Linked DNA regions of Canis lupus familiaris. The protein of the gene in region 1 binds, or shares a complex with, the protein of each later gene. Links are inferred from orthologs where the notes say so. Each region holds a gene or a part of one and is shown on either strand. Other genes may lie near its edges. The genes, in order: INTS6, INTS9, INTS12, INTS4 and INTS2.

Region 1 (3,514 bases):
TATTGTCTTCGTTTTTCTCATGTAGACAGATACACCTTGGAGTAAAACTGCTGGTTATATAGTAAGTATAGCCATTCTAGTGGATGGGAAGTGGGATCTCACTAGTTTTAATTTGCATTTCCTTAATGGTCATTAAGATACAGGATCTTTTTATGTGTGTGTTCAAATTTGTGTACCTTATTTGGTGAAGTATCTGTTCAAATATTTTACCAATTTTTTATTGTGTTTGTCTTATAATCACGGAGTTGACAGACTTCTTTATATATTTTGATACTAATTCTTTTTTCTATATATAATTTTCTCCCAGGCTGTAGCTTGCCTGTTCATTTTACAGAATTTCTTTTGTAGACAAAAATTTAAATTTTAATGAAGCTCAATTTATCAAGTTTTGTGTGTGTGTGCTTTTTGTGTTATATCTGAGAAACCTTCGATGACTCCTGACCCATCATCATAAAGACTTTCTCTGTTTTCTTCTAGAAGTTTATAGTTTTAGTTTTTACATTTAAGATTCATGAGCACTTCAATATGAGGTAACGATCAAATTTACTATTTTGAATATGGGTATCCAATTGTTCCAGCACTATTTCTAAAGAGATTGTCTTCTGACCCACTGAATTATTTTGGCACCTCTTATTAAAACTTGTTAAAAGTTAACTGACTATACGTGTGAAGGCTTACTTCCAGACTCTCTTCTGTTCTACTGATCTATATGTTTATCCATATGCCAACAACTTAACACTGTTGATGATCACTACAACTTTACAGTAACTTTCAAAATTAGATAGTACAAGTCTTGTAACTATTATTTTACAAAACTCTTTTTCTAGGACCTTTGAATTTCCATATAAATTTTAGATCAGCTTGTCTGTTTCTACATAAAAGGCTACTGGGATAAGGATCTTTTAAATAATGAATATTCATAAAGCATTTTATGATGTACCCAAGGTCATCAGTATAAGTACCAAAATGCAGTGAACTCTATGACTAGTTAGGCAACCTGTAAGCCTCTATTGTCTTTCTTTCTTAGTAATCTCTACACTCAAAATGGGGCTCAAATTCACAACCCCAGGATCCTGAGTCACATGCTCTACTCAGTCAGCCAGGTGCCCCATATGTTTTCTCATCTATAAAAATGAATAGATTGGTTTATTCATCAGTCCATCTATTCAGCCACTCAGCATACATAATGTTTGTTTTGATTCTAAAATTCAATGATTCAGTAATAGTATTAATGATCATTATTCTTCGGAGGTATAGAAGTACTTCTAAAGCTTGGACAAACTAAAATTATTAGTTAATAGGAAATTTGATTATTTAACAATTCAACAGAATATAGCTGGAGCAGTACTAAATTCATATAACATTTACCTTATTAAGCAAAGCAACTTGGAACCCAGTGTATTCTTTCATATTAAGGTCTAGCAGTCTGTGAGGAACATCCTCTGAAATTCCCTGGAGCAACTGTTGAAAATCTTTCCTATAAGCCATTGATAAACCATGTGATCGGCTTCGAACTTTAATTCCAGTTTCCTGTACTACTTTTTTGCCTACAGATCCGATGACTCGGTCAGATTCTATTTTAGCCTAAAGTAAAAATAAGTAAGATTTAGTCTGGACATAATCTAAATCAACAAATTAAATACTAACAGTCTTGGTCTTCCATATATTAAATATTTATGTTATAAAAAGTATGTACTTAATTAAAAACCCAGGTAGCATAGTTTATGTCAAGTTCTCAGTAAATTAAATATAGTTTAAATAATAATGTCTTAGCTTTGTTTTTTTTTTTTAAGATTTTATTTATTCATGAGAAACACGGGGAGAGAGAGAGAGAGAGAGACAGAGGGGCAGAGACATAGGCAGAGGGAGAGAAGCAGGCTTGCTGCAGGGAGCCCGATGTGGGACTCGATCCCAAATCTCCAGGATCAGGCCCTGGGCTGAAGGTGGCACTAAACCGCCGAGCCACCAGGGCTGCCTGTCTTACAGTTTTAAATCAATTCAATTATAACCTTTTGGAGCAGGGCAAACAAAAACAACTTCAATTTATTTTTATATACTAATATCCACTACACTTAAACCATGAAATGTAAGTGCACCCTAAATGAAAATATGGATTTCCAATTCAGAGGTGATATAAAATTAGGGGAAAAAAATCTCATCGGTATTTATTTAAATACTATTATTAGCACATAATTAAATGTTCATAGGTATAAAAAATGATGTAGTTTTTCATTGGAAAACAACGATATTTTGATGCCTTCCAACGTACATCTCAATGAGCATTTTAACTACAGACGGCAGAAGTACTAGAAAAACAACGTATTTTATATAGTATTAATATCTTGGCAATCTAAGTGTATACTGCTTGACCAGCAGAGCATCTACTAATGTGATTTATGCTCAAAATGTCAATATTCAGTTTTTTACAAATATTTCAAAAGTAATTCCCATTTTTGAATTAAAAAAAACTACAGATTTTAAAACATTAAGCAAAAGAAACTCATCTTTGTCTAAGAAAAACAGCTTTCTAACATAAATTTCTCAAAACAAAGAATGTTCCACAGATAAAAAGTCTAGGACCACAACAATGAAGCCATCTCTACAAACTATTATTAATTGAAATTAACATTCCAAAACACAGCATACTATGTACTTGACACTGAATTATGTTAATAATCTATGATATATGTGGTTTTAAAACATAATATATTAATATGACATACCATCACAGAACTAACATCTGGCCTATTAAGCATCTTAGCCAAAACCATTCAAAATACTTAACAGCTCTATTTCTTAACGTTACCTGTTGACTCAATTTTTTGAGGTATGAAATGACACTGTAACTAAGTCCATATTCCATACTGTCTGCTATTAGGTTAGGTGCTCCCATCATTCTAACAGCTTTCTTCAAAGGCTATAGGAAAAAAGAAAACATCACTCAATCCTAAGCTTGCCAAAAATGTATGGCTACCTGTATTATCAGTTTTGAAGATTTCTTAAAAAAAAAATTCTTTTTTTCAATAAGAGAGTAACCATATTTGTATTTCAGTAAAATGTTTGCCAGTGGTATGAAAGGTAGCTTAAAAGGATTAGAGGCTATACTTTAACAACACCTGGGAAAAGAAAGGGTAAAGTTCTAGATACCTTGGTATTATTGGTGATACTAAGTTTGGAAGAAATGGGCAGAGACATACCACAGAGATAGATTCAACAGAAATTAGGAAGTAAATTTTTAGGAGGCAAGAAAAATGGAAGATTTCTACCTTGGGTAATTGGGTAGATTATGGCTCATCTACTCACTAGCTTTGTGACCCCAGACCAGGTTTTATACCTTCTCTGTGTCTAAAGCTTCTCATTTGTAAAACGACAATAATATCTACTTCATAGGGTCATCACAGGATTAAACGAATCAATATATGTAAAGCACAGATAAAATCGTCTGGTATACAGTAGGCATTCAGTAAGTGTTAGTTATTACTATTGTTATTATTACCTGAACTGGAAAAAAAAG
Region 2 (3,514 bases), on another chromosome or scaffold:
TAGGATTTCAGTGAAGTAGAAATGGCTTAGCTGTTCCATTTAGAACTTCTGTAGGAATTTGAGAACGAGGTCCCGCAGTCGTACCCTGAGCACCTCATCATTGTCACAGATGATATGAGTTGAATCTTCCTCAATCTGGATGAGTGTCTCAGCTTCCTGGAGCAGGACAATATGGCCCTTCGCTGTGTCTTCTACCTTAATATCGCTGAAGCCATGCTGCTCCAAAAGAAAAGAGAAAGGAGGATGATGGATACTCTGAAGCAAGGGGTGGACTGAAAGGCAGGAGGACATGGGAGCAACTGACGGTTCTGAGAAATGACACTTCGTAGCCTTGGCTAAACTGAACATTCTAAAAACTGTCATTTTTTTATGCTCCCTAATATAATTCTTCAGACTTGTCATAGGACCTTCTACAGCAATGGAATTCAAACACAGCTTCATATACTTTAAAAGAAGCCTCCAAACATCCAAGATCTCATGCAAAACACAACAAAGTTTCTACAACCCGCTTAAGCTTTTGTGAGCTATCTTGAGGAGCACATCCAAGAGCTTGGTTCAGGAGTCTAGGACCCTGGGCTTTCTATCAGCAGCCTCCAAACTCTGCCAATGGTCCCTGATTAGAAAAAAGCTCCATCCTGTCCCAGGAAAATACCATTCCTCAAAGCAAGATACCAGTGACCTTGTGATTTGGCAAATCCTTCTTGAGGGAGGAGACAAGGCGGCAGGGCAAATACTTCTCCAGCTACCTTAATGTGAGTTACAGAATTTTCTTACACATCACACAAAGTTGAGAGAGAGGAAAAGAAATAGAAATAAGACTGACTTGCTTGAAAGGGCCACAAGATAGGTAATGGACATAGGCTAGGGAATCTCAACCCTTAGTCCTAGAAAGCTCGTGTGCAGGCTGGGGCAGGCACTGCTATTCCTCTTGCAGGAGGAGATGACGCAGAAATGGTGGAGAGAGTCAGGGTCAGATCCTAAGGGTCAACTGCTAGATGAGCCAAGCAGAAGAACTAAGTGCAGGGGATTCTGGGAAAGCAAGTTGTTTCGAGCTTTTAAAAAACAAGTCAAGCAGAGTCCTACCAATAGGGGCCAGAGCACTGCTCGGTCCCGAGGAAGCCGGCCCTGCCACGTCACAGCATCAGTGCTAACTCCCATACAGCGTTTCCACCCTCGGGCCAGGAGAGCCGCACAACTTGGCTGTGGTCTCTCCTTCAGGGAAGATTAAACAACTAATGGCTGGAGGCTGACACCAGAGGACCGCCTACTGCTTCCCCTTCTTGCCTCCTGTCTGCTTCTCCAACTCCCAGGGATCTAGTAGCACCTCTGTCCTCACTGCCCCCCAGTCCCGCGCCTCCCGTCTCCTGTGACACAGCCAGGCTGGCGCTCTGACAGCAAGGATCTTCTTGAAAAGTGAGGCTCCAAGGGGCAGACTTACTAAGTTTTCTTTATCTGGCCTTTCCCCCCTGCCCATCTGTCGCACCTAGGTTTCTGAAGGGCCTTCCTTGGTCTCGTTCCCATAAGAAATGGGGTGTGGTGAGGCAGTCTTCTAGGGGCCTGGGGTCTCACGGGAAGGAAGGGGCTGGCAGAGAAGAAATGGGGGACCTACAGGGAAGAGGGGGCATGGTCTTCTCTCAACTCTCTGGGACCCTCCCCTGGTTCTGTTCCTGCCATGACCCTGGATCAAGCAGAGGCTTCAGGGTCAGTAGCTCAGACAGTGGAGATGGAGAAAAAGGAGCAACATCCGGCTCCTGTGCAGTCTGGGCAGCACTCACCTTCTCCAGCGTCTGCACAAACTGTTCTACAGGGATGGAGCCGCTCAGCAGTGGCTTCAGCACTTTGCAGTCTGGGATGTCATCGCTTGCCCGCTTTCTCTTCTTACCACCTGTGGGCTGGGTGGGCCTGGGGGGAGGCTAGAGCCGGAGAAAACACAACCTCATCAAGCCCCTCACCCTGAGTACAGGGGAGGTCAGCGCAGGCCACAGCCAGAGCCCATCTGCCCATCCCTCCCTGGGCACTGCTGCCCTCCCTGAAGGAGGCCCCAGCACCCCGGTCCGGACTCATCCCTGCTGTGAGGTCAGCTGGCCCTGGAGTTCAGGGTTGCCAGGAGCTGGGGGCTCCACGAGGTGTTCTTTATAACAGAAGCTAATGCCAAAGCATCCACACAACATCAGTGCCTTTTCTGGCAAAGAAATCTTCCTTTTAGCAAGACTCATTTTTAATTTTTAAAGGATTCATTTTGGTATTTTCTGAGTAAATTCTTAATAATAAACTGTGCTGATAACTGTAGGTGTGACAGCAGCACGGTGGCCAAGGCCACCAGCTATGGGGTCAAGCTGATGGGTTAAAATGAAAGTCAGAGAAACTGCCTATAAAGTGATGGTGATTTTGTGAGAATTTTGTGAGGATGAAGTGGGAAGGTGAGAAGTAAGGATGACAAGGACCTAGGATGGCACCTCGCATATTTTACATGGCAGCACAGTCCCAAGTGTAGAAAGAGTTCTTCTCAGGGGTGAGGAGCAGGGCCCAAGGAGCTGCCCCACGAGGCGGTAAACACGGGGTGGAGGTGGGGCACGAGGTGCCGGGACAAGGCGCTGCAGTCTGTGGGCTGGGGTGGCTCACAGGTGCCCAGCTGCTGCCCGCCCCACAGGCATGTTGGGTAGGGGAGGCCTCCTGGGGCCTAAGGGCTGCCCACCACTCTGGGGGCTCCCGCCGCCTGGTGCTGTGCTCCGCACCGCGGGTCTGAGGAAGGTGCCCGTGGGAGCTGTGAGCACCACCAGTACTTTCGGAGGCGGGAAGGGCACTCAGGGTGAGGTGCGGCCCCAGCTCCATGAATAATAGCTGCTCTTCCCTTTTCTCTCTCTGAGGCATGTGGCCAGAGAACAAGTAGCGAAGAATTTATACGCAGTGTTCTCTCTGTTTCACATCTCATCCATTAAGGAGTCTGGTCTCTGGCTTGTGCTGGCGGGAGTCCTGGGACCACTGGTGGGGGTATCTGGGGGTTCCTGGGCTTCACAGGCCCCAGCGGCTCCTCAGGGACATGAGCCCGGCCCACCCTCCCCCGTACCTGAAGGACGTGCTTGTTATCTTTCGTGTGCAGCACAGCCGAGACGGTTGCCAAGGAAATGCCAGGCTTAATCTCCATGGGCACCAGCGCATCCGCGAGCTGGAAGCAAACGGGTTTCAGTGGGCCTCAACTAAATGTGGGGGGCGAGGTGCTGCAGCCTCGCCACCCCAAGTCGGGACCAGGAGGCCGCGCTGGGCCGCGGCTCGGCCTCCTCAGAGCTCACAGATGGCGATGGCTGGTGCCAGCCAAGGCCGGCTTTCCACACCCACTGGCTCGTTCCCGGCGGGAAGGGAGCTGAGCCTTCTGTGACCACCATTCTTCATTTTCTTTTCTTTTCAACTTTTGTTTCTATCACTGGAGTCTAAAATACCACATAATTTTAAGGACGAAAGAAGGCAAAAAAAAAAAAATCTAAAAATAACTTTAATCAAAAATACATCACACGGA
Region 3 (4,238 bases), on another chromosome or scaffold:
TCTACCTGGTTGCCCTAATGGTATCTCAAATTCAGTTATGGCTAAAATTGAGATTATGAATACTTTCTCCCAAAAGTTTGTCCTGTACTTTTTCAATGAATGACACAACTCTCTGCTAATCTAGTCTGAGGCCTAAATCCTTCCCTCACTAAATCCTCTCTTATTCTGTATAACCAAAAAATCAGTAGGCCTTCCCTATGGTACTTTGCAACATTCCTCACATTTGTTCCATTTTTCACTTCCACTGCTACTACTCCAATTCATGTCTTTTAAGTTTTGTGGTATAGCAGTAATGTAGCTATTCTCCTTGACTTCAGCACTACAGCTATACTCATGTTCCCAAAACACATTTCTTCTTTCTTTTTCATTTTCTTCCTCAAAAATTAAAACTTCCTGGGATGCCTAGGGGGCTCTGTGGTTGAGTGTCTGTCTTTGGCTCAGGGCGTGATCCCGCGATCTGAGATCAAGTCCCACACTGGGCTCCTTGCAAACCTGCTTCTCCCTCTGCCTAGGTCTCTCTTGTCTCTCAAGAATGAATAAAATCTTCAAAAAAATTAAAACTTCCTACTGTCTTCAAAATAAAGCCCAATTCTGAAAAGACTCTCACTGGCACAAAAACTTAATTCTTATACAGAAGAGCCATTCGCTTGTCTTGACACCTCTGCTTATTTTTTCTCTGTCCGGGAAGCTTTTTACCCATTTTTTAGATGTCTAAATTTTATGTTCAAATATTATTTCTCATGTGGATTCTTCACTGCTGGTGTGTCCTTATCCATCCCAAACACTACTAAAAATCTCTCCCTCCCAGGATACATCATACTGCTTTCTGGTGGTACTAGGACTTTCTACCTTGAGCCATACTTTTGTTGTTGTTTTGCACAAGAGTTATATTCCCTATAAAACTATTGAGTACTTTAAGGGAGGAGATTCTACATTTCTTTTTTACTATCACATGGCTACCTTGCAAAGTACCATAAAATAACAGCTATTAGAATTATTAGGGATCAAAGTAAAGTGTAATGGTCTTTTCCCTCCTACACAATTCTAACCAATTTACAAAGTCCCTTTGCAAAGAGCAGTAAGAAACGCAAACCCATCTTCCCTGTACCTCCTGCGCCTCCACCAAACCTCTCAAACATCAAAAAAGCAACAGTAAAAGAAACATAAACAAAAGTCACCTCTTTGATGACTAGAGACTTGTACAATGTTCCTCTCTGCAGTACTCACTCTCTTCCCAATCCTTTACCTGGCTTTACCTTCATTAATTACACTGGACTGTAACTTCATGAGGGCAAGAAACTTATTTTATTCAGTTATGTATCTAGGGTTCGAAACTTAGCCTCTCAAAAATATTTACTGAGTGAATGAACTAGGTTTTATTTAAAAATCACTTTCTGGGGCTTCTGTGATCTTTCCCACCGAAACTGGATATTCACAATGCTTTCCCCAAATCCCCAATTTCTCATTCTACATGCTAATCTTTTTTTTTAAAAAAACAGTCCGGAGTTGGGACACCTGCGTGGCTCAGGGGTTGAGCATCTGCCTTTGGCTCAGGTTGTGACCCCGGGGGTCCTGGGATGGAGTCCCCGCATGGGGCTCCGCGCAGGGAGCCTGCTTCTCCCTCTGCCGGTGTCTCTGCCTCTCTCTGTGTGAATATATAAATAAAATCTAAAAAAAAAAAAAAAAAGTCCAGAGTTGATCATCTGCACGTGCAAGGACACAAGATAAAGGAAACCACCTATTCACACCGAGTGCAATATTAGGGTTGCCATCTCCTACCAGCTCTAGCAAGCTTTGCCCTTTCATGTCTTTGGAAGCTCTTGCAAAAACAGCCTTTTTTAAAAAAAAGATTAAAAAAAAAATCTTTTAAAGCTGCTGCCCGTTTCAGTCCTCTACTGAATTCTCGGCCCTGGGTTACACTGATATCTTAGGGACATGTCTGGAAACGCAGGGGAAACGGAAGGACCACGACTCCAAACCAACCGAGTGACAAGAGAAGCTGAAAAAAAGGGGCCGAATGGGATCCCTGGTGGCGCAGCGGTTTGGCGCCTGCCTTTGGCCCAGGGCGTGATCCTGGAGACCCGGGATCGAATCCCACATCGGGCTCCCGGTGCATGGAGCCTGCTTCTCCCTCTGCCTGTGTCTCTGCCTCTCTCTCTCTCTCTCTGTAACTATCATAAATAAATAAAAATTTAAAAAAAAAAAAAAAAAAAAAAAAGGGGCCGAAGACGCTCAGAAAAGGGATGTCAGTCCTTTGATCAAAGCAGGACACCGCAGGCCTAGCACGGGAGAAGGTCTTCGAGGAGCAAGTCCGAGAGGACAGGCGAGGCGGAAGGAGGGAGCTGCCCAGAGAAGTCGCCAAAACCCTGCGGGGAAGGTCGGGCACCGGGCTGCAGGGACCAGTCCCCGGGGCCGGGCCGGGCCGAGCCGAGCCGGAGAGCCCCAGCCCACAGCACTGCAGGAGGAGGCTCGGCACCACCCCCCGCCCCCGCCCCCGCCCCCGCCCCGCCGCAGGGAGAGGGCAGTCAGCCCGGGCGCGCGGCCGCCCGCCAGTGACGACGCTGCCCCCTCAGCAGCCAGGGAACTAAGACCCCACGAAGCTCCTCTCCCGCCTCGCCCCTCGCGGAGGTCTCGAGCCTCCCAGAGGCGGCTGGGAGCCGGGGAGCTCGTCACAACTCACCGCTCCGCCCCGCTGCTCCGTCCGTTCCCGGGGGCCCCTTCCGAACCGCTCCCGGAACTCGCCGGCTCCGACTACGGGGAAACAAAGGTTCCTGCCGCGCCGTGAAGGGGGGAAGTTTTCGGCTGTGCCACGGCGGGAAGTGACGTAACCCCGGCTTCCGGTCCGCCGGATTATGAATGACGGCGGACGCGGCTGTTTCCAAGACGGCGTGCCTGCCGCGTGCCCCTTCCCGGCCTCTCTGGCCGCCCGCGGTCCGTGGGCGAAGACTCGCAGAAGCTGCCTCGGAAAACTCACGCGGGGTGGGAAGGCGCAGGCGGCTCGTGTCGCTGACACACTCACGCACCCTCCCTGCCTGGCCGCGCCTCTGCGACCAGGTAAGGAGGGAGCTCAGGCTGCGGACTCCGCGGTCCCCCTGACCCCCCCCCCCCCCCCCCCGCGACTGCTCTTTGCATCCGGAGGCGACCCGGCTGATGCTGCGAGACGGGGATGGGGAGGAGGCGGGGGGGCGGGAGAGGCAAGGGCTTGCAGTGAGTGTCCCGAGCTTTCTCCAGCGCTGGGCCCCTCCTGGGCGGTCACAGCCTCTGAGGGAGCTGGTGGAGGGCCCCGGGCCCCTTCCCAGGTTTCCCAGGGCCAGTCCCCGTGGCTCCCTCTGCTGATGGGGACTAGAGCAGCTTCTCTTTGCAGGAGTCCGTGGAGTCGTTTGCCGTTTGCTGCTAAGTGTCGCTTTAAGACCTTTTTGGCACGCTTTAACTTTTTTTTTTTTTTTTTCCTTCCCCCTCTCTCTTTGACACTTAGCATTTTATTCCGTGCCTTCCCGGTTAGAGAAAGCAGTTGTACGTGAGGACTGCTGAACAGTTGCTCCAGAGGACTTGCGTCGTTTGCGGCTGTTTTTCTTTTACACTGTCAAAGCAGCGTTTCAGTTCGGTCTTAAACAAGTTCGAGTTTGAGTAGAAAGTTTGACTTGCATGAAAGATTGCTTCGGTTTCGGAAACGTTCACGAACACCCGTATTTCCCGCCTCAACTCCACCTCGTTTGGAATGAGGTGACTTGTTTTTTAATCCCTTTATTCTTGAGCCCGGGATCCCATTTCTTGTCCTAAATTCTTGAATGTTACCGTTTGATAATCTATCTTGTGCTAAGTTATTGATTTTTAATAGCGTAGTTCTTTTTCCAAGCCTCCCTATAGAAAAAGTATTAGAGAAAAATGAAAAAGCTGGCAAGAATGTGGCGATTTGTAAACATGGTCATTGAATACTGTGAAAATAAATTCTCTTACAAATACAACTGAATGATTTGCTGTCATATTTAATAAATCAAACTTTAAGCCATGTTGAGTTTTTTTTTTTTTTTTAATTTAACTGCCTGGTGGGGAGTATACGCTACTAAGAGGATTGCCTTAAGGCATACTCACAACGTGAAATCATGTTTGAGTTCTACCTGAAGACCTTATTTTAAGAGGTCTAACTTTAAAAACAAATCTGTGATGAGATCGGTGAGATTTGAGAATTGTTTTATCAGATTATCTATTTTATTATTATTATTATTTTACACTTCTAC
Region 4 (3,514 bases), on another chromosome or scaffold:
CTATCTTCCTCTGAAAGATAAAACCATTATTGGTGGAAAATCTGGTTTCTGGGCAGCCCGGGTGGCTCAGAGGTTTAGCACTGCCTTTGGCCTAGGGTGTGATCCTGGAGACCCGGGATCAAGTCCCATGTCGGGTTCCCTGCATGGAGCCTGCTTCTCCCTCTGCCTGTGTCTCTGCCTCTCTCATGAATAAATAAATAAAATCTTAAAAAAAAAAAAAAAAAGAGGTTTCTGACATAGATTTAGACTCCTTGTCCCTAGAGGCATTCAATTATTCTACAAGAGAAATACCGCCTTGTAACGCCTTTTCTTTAGGCAGCCAATCAATTTCTCCTAGGGATACTACAACTTCTTTGTCCCTTTCTTTACCAACTATTATAAATATTTTTTCATATGATCCCATGGTCTTGTTATTCTCCTTCAGAAATACTCTAGTATGTCAAGCATGGAGCCCAGAACTGACTTCATGTTTGGCTCAACCAGAGAGCAGTGAGACCACCACTTTCCTTATTCTGAACACTATATTCCTCTTTGTGTATTCATACTGAGCTACCTAAATCCTTTTAAAAGCTCTTTTTACATATATTAGTGTTATTCAATTATATATCCTCTACCCTCTTATTAAAACGTACATATTGGACACAACTTCACATTCATCCCAATTAATGCTGCCAGTTGCTGCTCTGTGTGTTCAAATTCTGACAACTAGTACACTACTCTCCCAGTTTCATTATCACTCCTCCCCTTCCAGATCGTACTCATTTAAAGTACCTGATTATAAATTGCTTGGTGTAATTTCAGTCCTCTTTCATGAAGCTGCAACTAGATAATAAAAATATAGTTTAAGTATTTGGAGAAAAAAAGATCAACATTTCCAGTATCTCCCCCCTCAATCTCATATATTCTCCCTCATTATATCAAATTACCAGTTCCCATTACCCAAAATTAGTGCTATATAAATAAGAAATCTGGTCAAAGATTTCTTAATAGAAACACTAGGAGATTTAATAAATCTAATCCAACTATCCCAGGAGATACTAGAAAAATATTCAATAATGATAAGAAGGCTGAAGAAGAAATGGTTAACACCACCTCCTCCTAAAAAGCACCTCCCCTTCCAGGGACTTGGAGGAGGGATGTGACTTGGTATTAAAACAGGTGTAAAATAATAATAATAATAATAATAAATAAATAAATAAATAAAACAGGTGTAAGTTGTACCCTCCATGTTTCAGAAATATGGGTAAAAGCAACCACAGAGGCCTAAAGAAAAGCACACCTGCTATACAAAGAATGTGTGCCTTTGAGTTCTGTGATGCCATTAATCACATTCCTCAAAACATGCATAAGGTATATCCGGGAGTGGTTTAGAAAGCATCCAAGCTAACACTGGCCATGGACTTAAAATAATGAATGAAACAAATAAAACCTGTCACCATTTAGTTTCCATTATCATGCTTACCATGGCTTTTATAGCTGCTGTTCTGACACGTGGGTCTTGGTCACTGAAGTAATCCCCTATAATCTTCTGGACATCTCTGACAGCTAGGCCTTCTCCATCTTTTGTGACACTTTTCTCCAAAGAGCCAAGATTGCCAAGTAATTGCAGGCACTTATTTCTTACACCATGAGAGGTATCTGTGAGGTGCTATAAAAAGGAAGGAGAGAACAAAAAGACATGATTAAGATAGCTTAAATTAAATTAAAAACCAGAAGCAAAAGCATTGTATCAATTTAGGAATGACTTCAAACACCACATTCTTACCATAGTCTCTCTAGGATCATGTTACTTGACCATGTGTCTTCCAAAACAAGAATCCTTAAAAAAAATAAGATCCCCACTTGTTTATCACCACATTCCCAACAGCTAGCCCTTTGCCTTATTAAGAGAAGGTACTTTAAAAATGACCCTCCCCTTTTTTAAAAAGATTTTTATTCATCCATTCATGAGAGACACAGAGAGAGAGGCAGAGACATAGGCAGAGGGAGAAGTAGGCTCCCTCTGGAGAGCCTGATATGGGACTCGATCCAGGGACTCTGAGATCATGCTCTGAGTCAAAGGCAGACGCTCAACCACTGAGCCACCCAGGTATCCCAAAATGGCCCTTAAATTGAATTTTATAATCTAGCAAATCTAAAAACAAAAAATTTATAAAGTTTTAAACCTTTTTAAAAAAGATTTTATTTATTTACGTGACAGAGAGAATGAGAGAGAGCACAAGCAGGGTGAGGGGCAGGTAGAGGGAGAAGGAGAACGAAGATCTCCACAGAGCAGGGAGCCTGATATGGGGCTGGATCGCAGGACTCCAGGCCTGAGCTAAGGCAGATGCTTAATTGGCAGAACCACCCAGGTGCCCTCAATTTTTAAAACATTTAATATTCATATAGAAAAATGCAAAAACCTTAAGTGTACAGCTCAATGAATTTTCACAAAAGGAATACAAACATAAAACAAGCACCCAGATAAAGAAATAGAATATGACCAGCACCCCAACAAACCCTCCTGGTCCCCCTTCCCACTAACTATTCCACCACCATCAAAAATAGCCACTATCTTGACTTATAACACATAGATTTTGCCTGTTTCTATACTTGGTAAAATCAAATAATATCTGGCCTCTCTTGCTTAATATTTTATTTGTAAGATCCATCCATATAGCAATGGTTCATTCACTTCCATTACTATATCCTATTCCATTTGTGAATATACCACAATCCACTGTTGGTAGATATTTGTTTTTGTTTTTGTTTTTTAAGATTTTATTTATTTATTCATAGACACACACAGAGAGAGAGGCAGAGACACAGGTAGAGAAAGAAGTAGGCTCCATGCAGGGAGCCCAATGTGGGACTTGATCCCAGGTCTCCAGGATCACACCCCAGTCTGCAGGCGGCGCCAAACCACTGCTCCACCGGGGCTGCCCAGATATTTGTTGTTGTTGTTTTTTTTCCAGTTTTTGGTTATTCTTAATAATGCCACCATGACTGTGGTAGCTTGAATGTGCTTTCTGTTGGATATAAACTTAGGGGTGGAATTACTGAGTCACAGGATTTGTATATATGTTCAGCTTAAGAAGGCATTCCAAATAGCAAACAGTTTTCCAAACCAGTTGTACTAATTTAACTAATCTACACTTCCACCAGTGATGCACAGTGTTCTAGTTGTGCCATATCCTTGTCAACACTTAAGTACTGTCAATCTTTTCATGTTAGCTCTTCTCACCAGTATTTTAAACTAAAATATCAGTTATCTTTTGCTATACCTAGTCCAATGCTACTGAAATAAGCTATTTGCATAATACAGTAATAGGAACTAAAAATACTTTGAGAAATGAAGTTGTACAGTACATGATAATATGGCATGGAACTCTGATTTTTAAACTTTCTAGACCCACTGTAAGAAATATCCATTATATTGCAGCATAATATTCACATACAAATATATACACAGAAAGTTTAACAAAACATTGTTTACCCTTATACCTTATGATATACTCTGGTATTTTAATTCTAT
Region 5 (4,245 bases), on another chromosome or scaffold:
TGTGTAGACAACAAATCATGCATATTTTGAGATGTGATTAAAATAAATGCACCTTGTTCATTATTGCCAACAGTTCACTAAGCACAAGACGCAATCGACGAGGTGAATCACTGTGTTCAAACTCCAATGTCAATCCATGCTGAAGCTGGGATACCAGGATGCTCTCTCCACTGCCTCCTCCAAGTTTATGCCTAATAAAGCAGAAATGTGTAAAAACCACAATGGTAAGAACACTGACATAAAAATAACATAAAATTATCTTTTGTTGAAATAATCTACAAACGAATGTATGAATTCTTTTCATACATTTCATGAGTGTATTATTTTTGAAACACTATTTAGTTTGCCTATTTCAGGGATTCACAACCTATATATAAAGACTCAACTAACAGTTAACACCCACTTCAATGAACAAGAATGGCTCACTACTAGAGTCGCAATGGGCAGGGAAGAACTGAACAACTGTCCAGAATTTTGTGAAATCAATGTAAGCTAAAAAGGCTTTGGGGTGCCTGGGTGGCTCAGTACGTCAAGCATCTGCCTTTGGCTCAGGTCAAGATCCTGGTGTCCTGGGATAAAGTCCTGCATCTGGCTCCCTGCTCAGTGGGGAGTCTGCTTCTCCCTCTCCCTCTTGTCCTCTTGCTTCCCTGCTTGTCCTCTCTGTCAAATAAATAGATAAAAATCTTAAAAAAAAAAAAAAAAAGCCTTCTGAGTGATTCCAATAATTATTCTATTCTAGGGGAACTTACCCTACCCACTTCCCACTGAGAGTAATCGACCTAATCAGTTTAGTATGAATACGACAGTGTATCTGGCCAAACTCCTCTACACATTTTAGAATATGGAATTCAAAAGATCCTGGAATTTTAACTATAAATAGAAAAGAACTACGTAATATGCTCTCCAAAGTTTAGATTCTCAATCTTTTCTGGGAGAGTGCATCCAATAAAAAAAAAAAAATCGTAAAAGTTCCCAAGATATATTTGATTCTCTCTTCTTTGGCATATCTAAGTAAATCCCAGTCCACATATTATATAACACATTACCTAAGCTGCTGTTCTTTGCTGGCATCCTGTTCTAAAGCATGAAAGTCCACAGACAACAATGCAACAATGGAGTTGACAGCTTCCACTCCAGAGAGAAGACGAAGGATCAGTTTTTTATCCTGAGCCCAGCTTTGGCTCTGGTCAGCAGGAGCACAAAGCGCCATCCGCACCAAGCAAGGCAGGAGAAGTCTTAATTCTGGATCACTTAGAGATGCCAACCGAACAACATCCACCTTCTGCATTGCCTCAAAAGCAAAAGGGCTGACAAACTGAAGATTTGTACACTCAGCCATTATCACTGTTGATCCTATTAAAAAAAAAAAAAAGAAAGAAAGAAAGTAGGTTTAACTCCTATATGTATGAATGCTCCTCTTTTTAAATACCCTGAGAAAAGTGGTGTATCTTTAATAGGCCCCTATGCTGGCTATGTTTCTGGCACAAAGGTTCCCTGTTTTTACTCCCATCTAAAAAATGATAAAGAAAAATACATATATTAATAATTAATTAATTTTTAAAAATGATAAAGAAAAGAGAATACAGTAATATCTCCTCCAGCCCTAGAGATCTTCTGTTCTAGTACTTATTTTGCAAAGGAGAAATATAAAGCCCAGAGAGATTAAGTAACAGGCATACAGTGATAACTAACTAGTGGCAAAATCCAAGGCTGAACCCTCATCTGCTAAATCTCAGTCCAAGACTTTCTCCACAGCCTCAATCAACTGAGCACTACAATGCAAATAAAAGTGCGGAGTACTGTTAAGAATGCCCCTCTTCTGTACGTCTTTAGTTTCTTCTGCCTACCCAACAAATGCAAAAAAAAAAAACAAAAAACAAAAAAAAAAAAAAAACTGTCAGGCTTCTCTTTCTCACCCTCCACAAGTCAATGGAAGCTAAATCTCCTCACTTGCCACATGCAATGCCAGATTCAACATTCTGGAGGCCGTAACATTATCTTAATGTCCCTGTGCTCCTTTGGGAAAAAAAAACAAACAGCTGTGGAGGTGCAATTAGCTATGGGAGAAAGACGAGTTCCACTTGGGCACTTCTCTGTCTTCGCTAATCATCAGAAGGGAGGGGGAAAAAAAAAGGCAGAGAGCGGGTGGCCAAAGTCATCCCCTCTAAAAAACCACAAACTCGCCAAAATCGTGGGTTAACAGAGCCGTGGGCAGAAACGTTACTTTGTTTTGAAGCAAGCGGAGCTGGCCTTTTAACGGAGGGGCGGGCTGAGCAAGCAGAGGCGCCAAGCCCCGTGTGTGCTCACAGGGCTCGCCCGCAGCGTGAGGAGAACCAACCAGTCCCTCTGGCGGAGAGAGGCAAGGCCAGTGACCGACGTGGAACCCGGAACGCGCTCAGGCCTGAGAGGCGGAAGCTTCATACCTTAAGATTCACCCTCCAACCTCCCGGGACCAAACCAGGATTCCGCGCCCTAGAGGTGGGACGCCGTAGAAATCCAGAGCGCGATCCCGGGTTGGGCCTAGGCGAAAACCCCGATTCGCCACCCCGAGCTGTGCCCTGAGTCGACCCAGACACCGGCAAACCCAGACGCCGGGACCAACGGGGTCGGCAGCGCGCTAGGCTGCATGGGGACACAGCACAAGCACAAAGGCAGAACCCGCTCTGAAGGGAGGGGGACGCGGAGGGGGGCTGTTTCAACCTGCACCCAGCACCTTCATTCATCCCCAGCGTAGGGCTCCCGTCGGCCACCGTACTGGACTGAGGGGACCGCTGGCTGCGAAAGGAAACCCAGAGGCGTCGGCGTCGCGGCGACGGTGCGCGTGCGCGTGCGCGTGCGCGGCCCCACCCCTTCCTCCCCGCCGTTGCCCCGCGTAACTACATCCCCTCCCTCGTTGACAACGGAGCTTCCAGGGTCTTCGGCGAAGCGCGCCCGCCGTCTGTGTCCCTTTTCGATTGAGCGCTTAAGCTCCTCCAAGCTGAAGTTTCGCTACCCCGGGATTTTTGTAGCACTTGAATAAGCCAAGTAGGTAAAAGAAATGTTAAAATGGCTTACACTGTTCTTTGACCGGAACATTAATGGAATCAGGCTGTGCTCCTCTTTCCATCTCTGCCTGTGCCCTCCGAGCACCGAAGTTCCAGAATCCCAGCATGTATAGGCGAATGCAAATTCAGTCTCTTCCTGAGCTTGCTTAGGCTCTTGACCTCACACCTTCAGGGTGGCAAGTTAAACACCTTAATTTCAGGGATCTGTACTTTACGGTCAAAGGTTGGGGGAATGGGAAAAATGGGGGAGGGGGAGGTACAGACTTCTAGTTACGGAATGAATAACTCCCATACAACATAGAAATTATAGTCAGCGGTATTATAATAGAGGGTAGCTGCACTTGTGGAGAGCAGCATACAGCATAACATACAGAATTGCCCGATCCCTATATGGGGACACCAGAAACTAATGTAACATTGTGCGTCATCTGTAGTTCAATTTAAAAACAAAAACCAAACACTTAGGGCCCATAGATCCTTAGAAAGTGATGGGTGGAGTTTTTGGAATTCTCTGGAACCTGCAAAAGTGTGAGTGCTTGGCACTTCTGGAAAAAGGGTCCAAACTTGGAACAACCTCTCAAATGGAGTGTTAAGCATCCAGAAAAGATTAACTAATCTGTCTATATTTTCATTTTATTTCTAGTTCCTGGTTCAATCTGTGTGCATTTAGCACCTTCTGTTTACCAGATACCGTGCTACAAGCTGGAAACAAATATCTTACAGAGCTAGAACTTCATACCATATAGTTTCCAAGGCTTTCACAGAGTGATAATCTTCTAATAAAGTGTGCTTTCAGCATTAAAAATCAGCAAAGGAGGGATCCCTGGGTGGCGGAGCGGTTTAGCGCCTACCTTTGGCCCAGGGCGCGATCCTGGAGACCCAGAATCGAATCCCACGTCGGGCTCCCAGTGCATGGAGCCTGCTTCTCCCTCTGCCTGTGTCTCTGCCTCTCTCTCTCTGTGACTATCATAAATAAATAAAAATTTTAAAAAAAATCAGCAAAGGAAGAAAACTAACATGTGTTGCAATGTTTCTCAAACTTTTTTCCACCTACAATAATACATTTCACATTGTGATCTAGGACATATATGCATGTATACCCACTTTTTTTTTTCAAGATTTTTTTTGGGGGGGCAGCCCCTGGGGCGCAGCGGTTTAGCGCCGCCTGCAGCCTGGGGTGTGATCCTGGAGACCCGGGATC

The links.
Region 2: INTS6 (region 1) and INTS9 share a complex: the UniProt entries of both Homo sapiens proteins name them as parts of the integrator complex. The link is inferred for Canis lupus familiaris from reciprocal best matches to the Homo sapiens genes INTS6 and INTS9.
Region 3: INTS6 (region 1) and INTS12 share a complex: the UniProt entries of both Homo sapiens proteins name them as parts of the integrator complex. The link is inferred for Canis lupus familiaris from reciprocal best matches to the Homo sapiens genes INTS6 and INTS12.
Region 4: INTS6 (region 1) and INTS4 share a complex: the UniProt entries of both Homo sapiens proteins name them as parts of the integrator complex. The link is inferred for Canis lupus familiaris from reciprocal best matches to the Homo sapiens genes INTS6 and INTS4.
Region 5: the proteins of INTS6 (region 1) and INTS2 are in contact, whole or in part, in a cryo-EM structure (PDB 8RBZ), measured with the Homo sapiens proteins. The link is inferred for Canis lupus familiaris from reciprocal best matches to the Homo sapiens genes INTS6 and INTS2. Residues at the interface, in NP_036273.1 of Homo sapiens: Ile484, Val486, Arg487, Ser488, Arg489, Phe527, Gln528, Val529, Ala530, Leu531, Leu532, Asn533, Phe541, Arg542, Asn543, Ala544, Tyr545, Ile547, Arg549, Leu552, Leu553, Leu556, Met559, Arg560, Asn562, Leu563, Leu564, Lys565; in NP_065799.2 of Homo sapiens: Ile855, Asp856, Pro857, Leu858, His895, Arg923, Glu925, Leu926, Lys927, Ala929, Leu930, Ala932, Ala933, Gln934, Ser936, Ala937, Gln940, Ile941, Glu944, Asn1010, Lys1013, Leu1014, Phe1017, Gln1018, Gly1019, Tyr1020, Pro1021, Ile1046, Ala1047, Gln1048.

What each region holds. Positions count from the first base shown.
Region 1 is NC_049243.1:591,647-595,160, reverse strand, and holds part of INTS6 (integrator complex subunit 6), read right to left. Parts: intron 2,918-3,514; coding exon 2,807-2,917; intron 1,585-2,806; coding exon 1,369-1,584; intron 1-1,368. UniProt on the Homo sapiens protein: Component of the integrator complex, a multiprotein complex that terminates RNA polymerase II (Pol II) transcription in the promoter-proximal region of genes.
Region 2 is NC_049246.1:28,940,319-28,943,832, reverse strand, and holds part of INTS9 (integrator complex subunit 9), read right to left. Parts: intron 3,167-3,514; coding exon 3,068-3,166; intron 1,914-3,067; coding exon 1,776-1,913; intron 217-1,775; coding exon 40-216; 3' UTR 1-39. UniProt on the Homo sapiens protein: Component of the integrator complex, a multiprotein complex that terminates RNA polymerase II (Pol II) transcription in the promoter-proximal region of genes.
Region 3 is NC_049253.1:13,347,290-13,351,527, reverse strand, and holds the start of INTS12 (integrator complex subunit 12), read right to left. Parts: upstream 2,815-4,238; 5' UTR 2,681-2,814; exon of another isoform or gene 2,514-2,680; intron 1-2,513. UniProt on the Homo sapiens protein: Component of the integrator complex, a multiprotein complex that terminates RNA polymerase II (Pol II) transcription in the promoter-proximal region of genes.
Region 4 is NC_049242.1:20,974,625-20,978,138, reverse strand, and holds part of INTS4 (integrator complex subunit 4), read right to left. Parts: intron 1,649-3,514; coding exon 1,463-1,648; intron 823-1,462; coding exon 772-822; intron 1-771. UniProt on the Homo sapiens protein: Component of the integrator complex, a multiprotein complex that terminates RNA polymerase II (Pol II) transcription in the promoter-proximal region of genes.
Region 5 is NC_049230.1:34,713,397-34,717,641, reverse strand, and holds the start of INTS2 (integrator complex subunit 2), read right to left. Parts: upstream 2,810-4,245; 5' UTR 2,724-2,809; coding exon of another isoform or gene 2,720-2,723; coding exon 2,701-2,719; intron 2,684-2,700; exon of another isoform or gene 2,054-2,683; intron 1,354-2,053; coding exon 1,047-1,353; intron 192-1,046; coding exon 53-191; intron 1-52. UniProt on the Homo sapiens protein: Component of the integrator complex, a multiprotein complex that terminates RNA polymerase II (Pol II) transcription in the promoter-proximal region of genes.